Linked DNA regions of Cricetulus griseus. The protein of the gene in region 2 interacts with the protein of the main gene of each other region in a pairwise test. Links are inferred from orthologs where the notes say so. Each region holds a gene or a part of one and is shown on either strand. Other genes may lie near its edges. The genes, in order: Hnrnpm, Hnrnpf and Hnrnpul1.

Region 1 (3,315 bases), on a different chromosome or scaffold from region 2:
AGGAAAATCAGTTGCTTGCTCAATAGGAAAGGAGCTACTAAGGATGCACCCACACACACCCTGGATGATCAGGAACTGCATCCCAAAACTCCTTGTAGGCTGCAAGGATTTGTATTGCCAAGTGAGTCTATGACAGCCCTTCATTGGTAGGGTTCCTGCCCAACAGGACATCAGTATGAAGCATGTCCCATACAGTGATATTCTCAGGGGGCTTAAACAAAGAAAAGCCACATGAAGTGAGCTTTGCTCAGTGTCTGGGACTCACAGAATATAGCCACAGGATGACTTTCAGGATTGCTATTAGCACTCTTGGGAAAAATGAAGATTTAGGATCTGTACTATAGTGTTTCTACTATAACCAGGGTCTGCTCTCCAAACACTGGGGCTCACAGACAAGCAACAATAGGGTGAGATCCCTGGAGGTCACAGCTCTGAGGAAGGAAGAATTACAAGCTTCCCCAGCTCCACAGACCTCAGATGGCCACCTCTACAACATACGCAAAAAAAGCAAGCAACTTTCAGCAACTGGTATTTATTATCAAAGTCATATTCGATGTCAACAAGATGCCACAACTACAAAAAAAATTGCGCACATTGCAATCTCAATGCAAACAATCAAATGGAACCCCACTCATTAAAAAATTAATTCAAATTACCCCAAAAAGCAACTGAATTTTTTAAACATCTTTATACATCCAGCCAACAAATTAAAATGGTTAACAAGAAAAAATACAAATTCAGAGGTCTGGTATTGATGTTTAAAAAAGGCAACTGCTTAAGCATTTCTATCGATTCGAACATCAATCTCTCGGCCACTCAGCTTCATGCCATTCATCATCCGGCAGGCTCTCTCAGCCACCTCTGGAGACTCAAATTTAACCACACCGCACCCCTTGGACTTTCCGTTCTCCATCTTGATGTCGGCGTACAGCACGTGGCCTGGCACAGGGAGGGAAGAAGAGACCACACGCATCAGGCAAACCCAGAGCTCAGCCTCAGCCTGGGCTCCACTCAGTCCAGATCACCTGTTGGATTTCGGTGACAGAGTCAAAAAGGAGAGAGGCCCTTGCATATGAAGTGAATGCTCAGAACACCACGTATGGCGCCAGCAACTACAGCCCCCCCCCACTATATTGCCATTGTTCTCCAAGCAGGACAACAGCCTGACCTGCTGTCAAGAACCTGCCAAGCAGCTTCAAGAGTTTGCCTTTATGCTCCAGCAAGTGACACAGAGAGGGGACTATGTGGAGTCAACTTTAGATTAGAATTCTAGAGGCTTGATTGTTGAATACCACAATCTGGTCACAAGGTCACTGCCAATATGATACTTCTATACTGCCCCAATGTAAGCCAGGTATACTTAGTGAGCAGCTTACATATATCCCATTCATAGACCTATTAAGCACCCACGTTATTAAGTACCCAGGTATGTGTCAAGTACAAAAGAAATGGGTCTATAATAGAGTGAGAGCCAAAGACACATTAGTGGTGTCAGGTCCCATAATTCTGTGCTACTAATGGCTTGGGGAGAGATGACACTCCAGTGGCTTCTGGTGATAAAATTCTGAAAGATATTAAGTAGCAATTCATCAGAATAAACATTCCTGCCAGAGCAGGACGCAATGGTACACATCTGCAACCCAGCACTTGGGAGGCTAAAGCAAGATTTCAAGTTTTAGGCCAGACTGGAGCTACATGGCAAGACCCAGGCTCAAAAGAAGGGAATGACAAGACAGAACCAAAGGAGGGACAACAGACAGGAGAATGGAAAGATGGCTCACCTGTAATCCCAGCCCTTGGGAGGTGAAGATAGGAAATCAAGAGTTCAGTGTCACTGAGGATATAGCTCAGTGGATACAGTGCTTGCCCAGCATACACAAAACCCTGGGTTTGAGCCCAGCACTTTACAAACCAGGCATGGTAGCACACCTCTGTAATCCCAGCATTCAGGAGTTAGAAAAAGGACTAAAAGTTCAAGGTTATTTTCAGTTATATAATAGTGAGTTTAAGGGCCAGTCTGAGACCCCATCTCAAAAAAAAAGAAAAAAAGAAAAAAAGAAAAAAGAAAATCCAACAAACAAACCACCACCCACAACAAAAAAATCCCTAAGAGTTCAAGATAATCCTTGGCTATACAATGAATGTGCAGCAAAATGGAGCTAGCTGGATCTTATCTCAAAAAGAAAAAGAGAAGGGAAAGGGGAAGGTAATTTGGCAGGAAAGCAGAGAATGTCACAGGTTCAAGGGCAGTAGGGAGATGGAACCAAGTTTCCAGAAGCTTTTGAGTTTGCATTTTCACATAGGTGGGGAGAGTGGCATGTTCTAATATGAGTTTTTGGAATATCTAGTTACAATAGTGACTGGTGTGAAATTTGCAATGGAGAGAATCAAAGAACCAGGCAAGAAGATGGGTTTTCACTCTACAGCTTGCCTCAAAGAACCAGGGGAAAGCACCAAAAACACTAAAATGTGAGCCATTTCTGAATGACGAAACAGGTGTTTTGATCGAGCAGCCACCCAGATTTTGGTGAAATGGTAGCAGGTGACAACTGCATCTCGGTCACCAAGGAAGCTTTCCAGAAAGGCTGCCTAGTGTGCCTATGAATCCACAATCAGTGATTTTCACCCCACTATGTGTGCCCAGACCTACAACTGCTGAGCATATGAGTGCTCTGGGAAACCAAACCAGGTATGGGCTTCATGTGGAAAAGCAACTTGTCTCATTTATTTCTTTTGTTTTTGCCTCTTATTTAGGAAGGTGGCTTTGCTAACTCTTATGTAAAGAGACGACAACATTGTCTCCTCTCAGAAACACTTCAGAAAACAGGAACGGTGGCATTTGCCTGGCGTTCCAAAACATGGAAGGTAGCAAAAGAATCATGAACTCAAATCCAGCTTAGGTTATAACAGAGACAGAGAGACTGTCTCAAAAAACTAAAAAAGAACAGCAAGGATGAAAGCAGCACATAGCACGACACATACCTGGACACCCAACACCTGCCTGAGTACCTGCAGAGGCAGAACAATGGCAAGGCCCATCGGTGCTCTAGAGCCCATGGACAGTGGTTAAGGCTAGGAAAGAAGCTTCACTGCTCTAACTCAACAGCGTCATCAACAAGCCACGACACAGGAATGTACACAGAGAGCCTTTCTCAGACACTTACCACATTCGTTGAATTTGTCCTTTAGCATCTTCCATGTAAAATCAAATGGGAGCTGAGGAAAAAAGAGGAAGACTGATCTGTGATGCAACCAAGTCTCAATGTAAAGACATCACAATAGATACAAGAATATGACTTGAAGGCTTTCTTGGGC
Region 2 (4,366 bases):
AGGAGAGAGAGTTAGCAAATGAAATCTCTGGCTGTGAAAGTCTGATAACCTAAATTCGATCCCTGGAGCTCACATAAAGGTAAATAAAAAAACCAACACAGGAAAAGTTGCCCTCTGGCCTCCGTAAGGTTGGAAGGCACTTGCACCTGCCTCAACCAATAGTATAAACTTTAAAAATCAATAACAAACCCCGAAAGTCAGTGTGCGATGTCTTAGCAGTTAAAGGCACTTGCTGCATTAGCCTGCCAACCCGAGTTTAATCCAGGACCTCACCCATATAATTGGAGAGATAGATGCCCCAGAATTGACCTCTGACTTCCAAACCAGCAAGGTGATACATTCTGACTCCTCCACACTGAGCACACTAAGAATCTTAACTCACTGGGTGGTGGTCGAGCACTCCTTTAAACCTTTAATCCCAGCAGAGGCAGAGGGGCAGAGGGGTAGAGGGGTAGAGGGGCAGAGAGGCAAGGCCAGCCTGGTCTACAGAGCGGGTTCCATGACAGGCTTCAAAGCTACACAGAGAAATCCTGCCTCAAAAAACAAAACAAAAACAACAATAAAGAGAGAGAGAGAGAGAGAGAGAGAGAGAGAGAGAGAGAGAGAGATCCTAACGCTCTCCCTCCCCAGTACAAAGTGGTGCACAGTTTGGTAAAACTTGTGCTGAGTAACTGGACTTAATGTTCAATATACACATGAATACGTATTTAACTTTTGTAGGATTTGTTTTCTATCATTTGGCCTCTCTTTTTATTCTTGGAGACAGTTTCTCCTCTGAAAGTTAGTTTTCTCCTGTTATTTTTTTTTTTTTGAGTCAGCCTGGTGTGTTGTTTTTATGAACTTTTCCTTCATCGCTATCGTCCGCTTATAACCGGAGACTACTTTGTGAATTTCTCCATTGTTTAGACAGCGGCTGGCAACCATGCAGCCTGGACCCGCTCCCTGCAGAGATCACCAGCGCGCGTCTCCACGCCCGCCTAGGAGGCTCTGTGGTGTTGGTAATCTTAAACTCAGCCTGTATCTTGACATCTCACGAAGAAGCCTCGCAAATTATATATACATCGAAAAAATCTAACCCCTCCACTCCGGGAAGTGCTGACAGTCTGAAACTCAAAACCCTGACGCTGGGGGCTTGGAGCAACTTGGTACAAATCCCTCAAGACGGAGCCTCGGAGACGCCCTTAGGCGCTCTTTCTTTTTACGTAAGACTCGACGCTAGTTTTCCGCTCGCGCGCGGTTATTGAACCTTTGGGGCTCAAGTTTCCGGGTGCGGAAACGCGCGTGCACCACCCGGCGTCCTCCCACAGCCCACAAGTCGTGAGGCTCTCCATGGACCACCCTCCACCTTGCTCCCCTCTTCGCCCGCCCCCTCCCTTCCCTCCCCCCTCCCCCTCCTCCCCCTCCGCCGCTTGGCTCCCCCGAGGTGTGCGCATGCGCCGTCGCTGTCCTTTCCTGCATTCAGAGGCCGGCCCACATTCCCCGGCCCCGCCCCTCGCCTGGCTGGCCAATCCTGAGCTCGGACTTGGGCTCGTCAGAATGGCGCCGTGGCGGCCCGGTGCCCGGATGTCCGCTGCCTGAGGCTCCGCCCCGCCACGGTCTTGTATCCTTCCGGCTTCGTCGTGGAAGGAGGACTGCGCCTCGTCTTCCTGAAGGTGGGGTTCGGGGGAAGGCCGGCCCGCGGTCACGCCGGCTGTGGGAAGGGAAAGTGGGCTTCCCGGGCTACTGTTTCCGGGTGCTCGGGGCGTGGGTCGAGCGGGGAACGGGCCAGGGGCCAGGAGGGCTCCCGGAAGCGCGGCGGGCGCTCGACGGGCGGGAGTTGAGGACCAGGCCGGCCCGCGCGGCTGAGTCGCTCCGCGGAGGCCCCACCGCGAGCGCGCTTCTGGGGGTTTCCATGGTGACAGTAAACAAGCCTCAACTGCCTCAGCTACAACTGCCAAGTCCCCGGGGTTCCACCCTCCTCTAGGTGCTCTGAGGGCCGGCGAGGTTCCGGATGTGAGAGGGAGCGTGGAGACAAGGAGCCCGAGGTGAGGGTCGCCAACCGGGTGGGCTGGCGGCCGGGCCCTTGGGGCGTCGGGCCGTGGGGCTCGGCCATAGGAGAGGACCGGTCCGAGGGGGGAGCCGCACACCCGTGGCGGTGCGAGGCTGGCCGTCGGGGCTCGGGACGGCGGAGGCGAGGCGTGGGGTCGGGGTCCAGAGCCGAAGTTGAGAGTATGTCTGGCGGTCCAAGTTGGGAGCACTTCGGACCGGGCCGGCCGCGTGGCTGAGGTTTGCGGCCTGGCGGAGGGGGTCGGGGGGAAGGGGACGGACGCGGGATCCGAAGTCTGGAGTCACTCTGGTAGGCTGAGGTCCGGCCGCGGGGACCGAGGTGTGGGGCTCGCCCCCCCCCCCCCCGCATCCGAGGCCCACGCCCTGGAGAGCGGCTTCCGCCGAGGGCCATGCCCGCCGGCGCTGCTCGCACGCGGCTCGGCCGACGCGGGTTGTTTGGGGGGGGGCAGGGCGGAGCGTTTACCCCCCGCGGCGGAACACGCTCTGCCCTCCGCGGGTAGGCCCGGGCGGGCGCTGGTTGCAGTTTTGAAAAAGGAAAGCGGCCGCTCACGTGGTTGGAGGCGGCCAGAGTTTCACAAGACTGGGCGGAGGGACGACGACTCCGCCCTCCTCCCACTCCTGCCCCGAGCGAGCCGACCGCCTCTTCCTCCTCGTGGCGACCCGGGAGTCTCTCATTCCCCAGTCTGTGTGGATCCGGGCCCTTCGGAGGTAGCGTGCTGGCGTTTGCGGGTGGTGCTGGCGGTGGTGGAGGAGGAGGAGGGATCTTGACCTAGGGAGGTCGGTCGGGTGTTTGCTGCTGTTCCGTGAACTTTCTTTGGATGTGTTTGTGGATCTTTACGGTTCCGGTGAAACTTGGTGTGGGTCTTTCCGGCCTTCCTTCCCTCCCTGGCGCGCGCGCGCTCTCGGGAGCGTTCCCGACAGGGCCGGACGCTGGCCCCAGCCGCCCTGCGCGTACCCGCGAGGCAGCCCCACGTGCTCCATAACTTTGAGCGCCCGACGCGACTTTTCCTGCCCCGGAGTCCCGGGGCACAAACGAATGGGCCTCTCCTACCTGCCACAAGTGCTGGAGACCTGTGGCCTGTGACTGGGGCTCCAGAGTGGTTGGGCGAGCGCGCAGCGTGGGAGGCCGCCATGCGGCTGTGCGGGATTAGGCTCCAGTGTGTCTTTGACTGCCGGAACTTCGAAGAACCGAGAGGGCTTCTTTATAGCTTTTCTTTTTGTTTGCGGATTTGTGTGTGAGTGGGGGAGGGGGTTAGATGTAAGACGACACCTTGAGAGATGGCTCTTCCAGGAGTGTGGGTCTCGGGGATCGAACTGAGGTCATGTGCTTGGCAGCTCGAGTTCCTATCAAGTGTGGGTTTTGTTTTATTTTGCTGTTTTTTCCAGACGGCTCCTGTGTAGTCCTGGCTATCCTGGAGCTCACTTGTAGACCAGGCTGACCTCGAACTCACAGAGATGTTTTGCCTGGAGTGTTGGGATTAAAGAAGTGCGTCACCATGCCGGTCGATACCGGAGAGTTTTGAAATAATTAAAAATCATTTAATTGATCAAATCATAAGATGTCTTGTAATAGTTACTATTTTAGAGAGAAGTTTCCTTTGTGCTGCCGAGTAGAGGTCAGGGACATATGGGGCCAGGCCTTCCATATTGTGTTCAGAGATTTTTGAGCTCAGGTCCCTCCCGGCAATAAAAAACTTCTTTTCTATTTTTTTTTGTTTTTGTTTTTCAAGACAGGGTTTCTCTGTGGCTTTTGGAAGCTGTCCTGGAACTAACTCTTGTAGACCAGGCTGCTGATCTTGAACTCACAGAGATCCACCTGCCTCCCGAGTGGTGGGATTAAAGGCGTGCGCCACCAACACCCGGCTCCCGCAATAAGTCTTTACACAGTTAACGATCTCCAAGTACTTTTTAAGAGTTAATGCTTATGAATTTTTAGTAAAAATAGAAATATTTCAGGCTTTTTGGGTAGACAAAAATAGGTCAGTGAAGTAGTAGTTTTGGTGCTAATTTTTGACAATATTTTCGTTTTAAAGTGGAAGGTTTATATTTCCAGAGAAAGTTGAGAGATTGGTAATGAGGGATACTTAGTTTATTGTGTTGTATACATAGTTTTTTGTTTGTTTGGGTTTTTTTTTTTTTTGGTATTTCGAAACAGGGTTTCTCTGTGTAGCTTTTGCGGCTATCCTGGCTCTCAATCTGGAGACCAGACTGGCCTCTGCTTCCCATGTACCACCATCTCCATAGAAGTAGAAAGTTTTTATTTTTTTGGTGGTATGTCTTTTGGGTGGTGGGAGTAGGCTGGGCCTCCAAAGCACTATGT
Region 3 (4,251 bases), on a different chromosome or scaffold from region 2:
GCAAAACCGGATGGTGGTATTGCACTAAATCTTTTTTTTTTTTATGGTGGTATTGCACTAAATTTTTTTATGGTGGTATTGCACTAAATCTTTTTTTTATGGTGGTATTGCACTAAATCTTTTTTATGGTGGTATTGCACTATTTTTTTATGGTGGTATTGCACTAAATCTTTTTTATGGTGTTATTGCACTAAATCTTTTTTTTTTTTTTTCGCCTCCCGAGCTAGGGGCGACGGGCGTGCTAAGGGTTAACGCGAGGCACAGTTACGGATCCCTCGTGTTGGCGATGGTTGGCATAGGCAGGCAAGCTGCAGGGCTCGAGATGGAGAGCCCCGGACTTCTTTCTGCGGCTGCGGCGGTCGCGTGCAGGGCGGCCTGGGCGGGCGAGCGAGCAAACTCTAGAGCGGTGCGCCGTTTGCCAAGCAGCTTCTCCCCCGTGGGTTTAGCCCAACCCCCGCTTGCAACCCTTCAGCGCTCCCCAGGGCCAACTGTTTGTTTGTTTGTTTGTTCCTCGTTAAAAAAAAAAAAAACAAAAAGCAAGCGAGCCAGCAACTGGGCTTGAGTAGCAGGCGAGCAGAAGCAGCTCCCCTTAAGCCCGATCCCGCCTCTCAAACATCCCCGCAAGACGGCCAAGTTTGCAAGGCAAGCCTCTTCCAGCAGGGCCAATCCCGTTAGCTTTTCCTCAAAGCGCTCAAGCTACGGCTGCGGGGCGGGCGGGCGGAGAGGGGAGCGGAAATGTAACCGTAACTGCGATTGGTGGACAGCTTGTTTTGAAACCGCCCTAACGGCAAGGGGCGGGCCCTCCGCGAGTGGGTCTCCTTCCGGGCTTCCGAAAGGGCCACAGGAAAGACGAGGGTGGGCGGGGCCCCTCGGTCGCCGCGTTTGATTGGCCGCGGCGATCTTTTTCCCCCGCCCCCCCGCCCCGCGCGAGGGGCGGGAGCTGCGGACCAGTCAGCACGCGCTTTACGGAGAGTCCGAGAGCGGGAGAGGCTGCCGGGAGGGACGGGGCGGGGAGGCGACGCTGAGACCCCGTTGCTGATTGCTCGGGATCGTTACTCCCTTATCTGCCACCATTTGACCGTACCCGCTGCGCGCGCGCGCGCGCGGGGGTCGCGGGGCGGGGGGGGGCGCGGGGCGCCGTCCAATCAGCGCCGGCCCCGCCCCTTGCCTTTTCCCGCCCTCCGCTTGGGGCCGCGACTCCGACGTAGGCTAACGCTTCCTCTTGGGCAGAGCGCCCTGAACCCTCTCGAGTGCCGTCGCGGTGAGAGCCGCGCTGTGATTGGCGGAGCCTCCGGGGCCCGCGCCCGTTGCCCCGCACGCTGCCCAATCGACGCCCGCGTTACATCGTCGGGCTCCGGGGCCAGGGGGGGAGGAGGCGGCGGCGGCGGCCATTTTGAGCCGCCGCCGCCATTGGAGGGGCCCCCCCCGTTCCCCCTTCGCCTCCTGACGGGCGAGGTTTGAGGGGGGACAGAGCCCCGGGAGGCCGGGCCGGGCTCGGGGGCCGCCCCGGGGGCCCGGGCCATGGATGTGCGCCGTCTGAAGGTGAACGAACTTCGCGAGGAGCTGCAGCGCCGCGGCCTGGACACTCGCGGCCTCAAGGCCGAGCTTGCCGAGCGCCTGCTGGCGGCGTTGGAGGCCGAGGAGCCCGAAGAGCGGGAGCTCGACGCTGACGGCGGCGACGGCGACGACGGCGACGGCGACGGCGGCGGCCGCCACGGGGGCGACGGCGAGCCGGGGTTACCCGAGCGCCGCCACGACGACGAGGTCGACACCGAGGGGGGCTCGGAGCTGGAGGGGACCGCGCCGCCACCGCCGCCCGGGCTGCAGCCGCACCCGCACCCGCACCCGGAGCCCGGCGGCTACCCGGGGCCGGACGGACACTGTGAGAGTGCGCGGGGCCTGGGGGGGACACCGGGGGACCGGGGGGAGGGGGGGAGAACCGGGGGACGCGGGAAGTCCACTCCTCTCCATCGACACCCCGGGGGACCCCGGACACGGTCCCTGGCGGGGGAGCCCGGGACCCCCCGCCACCTGCCGCTGCGGCTGCCGAGCATCGGTGGACAGGGCCGCCAGCCCCAGGGCGAGCCAGCCCCAGGGCGAGCAGCCCCAGGGCGGATCCTGCAGGGAGGGCCTTGGGTGCAAGGGAACAACCCTGGGCCTGGGCGGGGTGGCGTGGGGTGAGGGGGGGTAGAGCCGGCGGGGTTTCTTTATTTTGTCCGATTTAGTTATTTATTTATTTATTTTGGTTTTTCCGAGACGAGGGTTTCTCTCTGTGTGGCTTTGGAGGCTGCCCTGGAACTCGCTCTCTTGTAGACCAGGCTGGCCTCGAACTCCCAGAGATCCGCCTGCCTCTGCCTCCCGAGTGTTTTTAAGAAGAAGACTAGCGAGAGGGAGGGTGGGTGGGGAGGAATGCACATCCTAGAACTGGGAGGCCGGAAACTGTTTCTCTTTCTTTTTCTTTTCCTCTTTCCCTTTTGGAGCTGGAGAGTCGGAAGGAGCTTTCAGGGAAAGGGGTGTCTCCGGGAGGGCTTTTGGAAAAATGGTGATGCTCGCTGGGGGCTTTGAGCTGACAGCTTGGGTGGCCGTGCGGGTCGTGTTCCCCCCTCCACGCACACACACCCCGTTTGGGCTGGGTCTCAAAAAGCCGGATTTCCAGGTATCAGGGAGGGCGGGGGGTGAAGAATGGTCAACGGTGCAGGGCTGAGGGAGAGTATTTGAGGCTAGAGGATCTCCGATCTTGCGGCCGGATGGGATCCGGGAGGTGTGCTTGGTGCTGTGGGTGAGTTGGTGCCGTGGAGCTGCGGGTGGCCGAGGCCGAGGGAGGTGGGCTGGGCGCTCCGATGTTTGGCAGGTGAGCTTTTAGGGGGAGATAATGGAAAACCAGCGGAAGATTGGGTTTGGCGTCCCCTCCCTTCCCCCCCAAGTCCTGCATTTCAGTTACAGGGCCAACCTTGAGGACAGGGCAGCTAGGAATATTTGGTACTGGGAGATCTTAGCTTGTGGCTTTCTAGAAGAGGCACGAGAACGTTGGTGTCTATAAACAGTGGCGAGGAAAAACAGGATGTTTTTAATGGACAAAAGAGCTAGGGACTAGTCTAGAATTGGGAAGGCTCCTAAGAAACACCGGGTGGCTCCTGCTGAATGGCCTTGTATTGTTAGCTATGGATAGTTTTCGAAACTCGGATAGCTGGAGTTGGGGAGAATAAGTTGGTAGCAAGTGGATGAACTGTGTGGTGGGCAGAGGACCTTTGTGTCCCACAGGGAGTCTGCAGCTAGCAGATGTGGGGGAGGGACGCGTGGAGGATTTGGAGAAGAAAGGAAACCTGTTGATTTGGCTGGAGGCCTCAGGGAGTATTCCTTTCCGAGAGAGGGCTCCTGAGTCCCCAGAAATAGTTACTTGTGTGCTCAAGGGGCCTGGGGGAGTTTGATCAACCAGGAAGTGTGTCTGTAAGATAGGATTGGAGGGGAACTGCAGTCCCTTGAGTAAAGGAGACCCTGGTATGAGAGGGAACCTGGAACGAAACACCTTGGCATCCGAGGCTTGGAGTATTTCTCTGAGAAGAAGACACTGCGGGACTTGGGATGAAACACTGAGAGAGAAAATGGGCCCTTGAGAGAGACTAGTACTCACTTGTTCCTGAGAGGTGGGATCCTATGGAGGAGACACCCTGGGGAAAGAAGAGTGGTCTAGGGCTAACACATGTGTGGCAAGTGGTCAGCTCCCTGGGAAGAAGGGGGGAGTGGCTTGTGAATGTGCCCAGAGCTGGGGAACCCTGCAAGAATGGCTTATGAAGGAGCAGCCAGTGTGCAGCCCTAACCTTGCTTCTGCCAGAAGGGTCTTGGGAAAATGAGTTGATGCTTCAGAGCACAAACTGTAGACTCAGGCAGACTTTTGGAGTTAAGCAAATCATTTCCCCTCTGAGCCTGGGTCTCCCTATATATGGGACTGGTAAGAGTCCTCCCTGAGTTGTCATGAGATGGTATGTGAGAGGGTTCCCCACACCAGGGTTGCCTGTTGTTGGGGGGATGTTGTAGAGAGTGGGAAAGGACCCCAGCATCATAGCTTCCCTAGGCCAGCCTGCCACTGTTGGGGGAAAGAACACGGGCTTTCTGGGGAGAATACTGTCCTAAGGCTCTGGAGGAAGCATAATGGTTTGAAGAAACCTTGTGTTCCAATTAAGGAGATACTGCGTCCCCTGTCATGTCATGCCCCCCACCCCCAACACATCTACAGCAAAATTCTCTAAGCCC

The links.
Region 1: the proteins of Hnrnpf (region 2) and Hnrnpm interact in binary tests that used the Homo sapiens proteins (3 or more experiments, as listed by UniProt). The two-hybrid records come from large-scale screens. The link is inferred for Cricetulus griseus from reciprocal best matches to the Homo sapiens genes HNRNPF and HNRNPM.
Region 3: the proteins of Hnrnpf (region 2) and Hnrnpul1 interact in a two-hybrid assay, tested with the Homo sapiens proteins (3 studies listed by BioGRID and IntAct). The link is inferred for Cricetulus griseus from reciprocal best matches to the Homo sapiens genes HNRNPF and HNRNPUL1.

Annotation. Positions count from the first base shown.
Region 1 is NC_048598.1:95,317,848-95,321,162, reverse strand, and holds the end of Hnrnpm (heterogeneous nuclear ribonucleoprotein M), read right to left. Parts: intron 3,217-3,315; coding exon 3,165-3,216; intron 1,026-3,164; coding exon of another isoform or gene 1,012-1,025; exon of another isoform or gene 940-1,011; coding exon 776-939; 3' UTR 517-775; downstream 1-516. UniProt on the Homo sapiens protein: Pre-mRNA binding protein in vivo, binds avidly to poly(G) and poly(U) RNA homopolymers in vitro. Involved in splicing.
Region 2 is NC_048601.1:27,021,431-27,025,796, reverse strand, and holds the start of Hnrnpf (heterogeneous nuclear ribonucleoprotein F), read left to right. Parts: upstream 1-1,503; 5' UTR 1,504-1,652; intron 1,653-1,885; exon of another isoform or gene 1,886-2,024; intron 2,025-2,621; exon of another isoform or gene 2,622-2,754; intron 2,755-4,366.
Region 3 is NC_048602.1:9,365,321-9,369,571, forward strand, and holds the start of Hnrnpul1 (heterogeneous nuclear ribonucleoprotein U-like protein 1), read left to right. Parts: upstream 1-1,385; 5' UTR 1,386-1,521; coding exon 1,522-1,888; intron 1,889-4,251.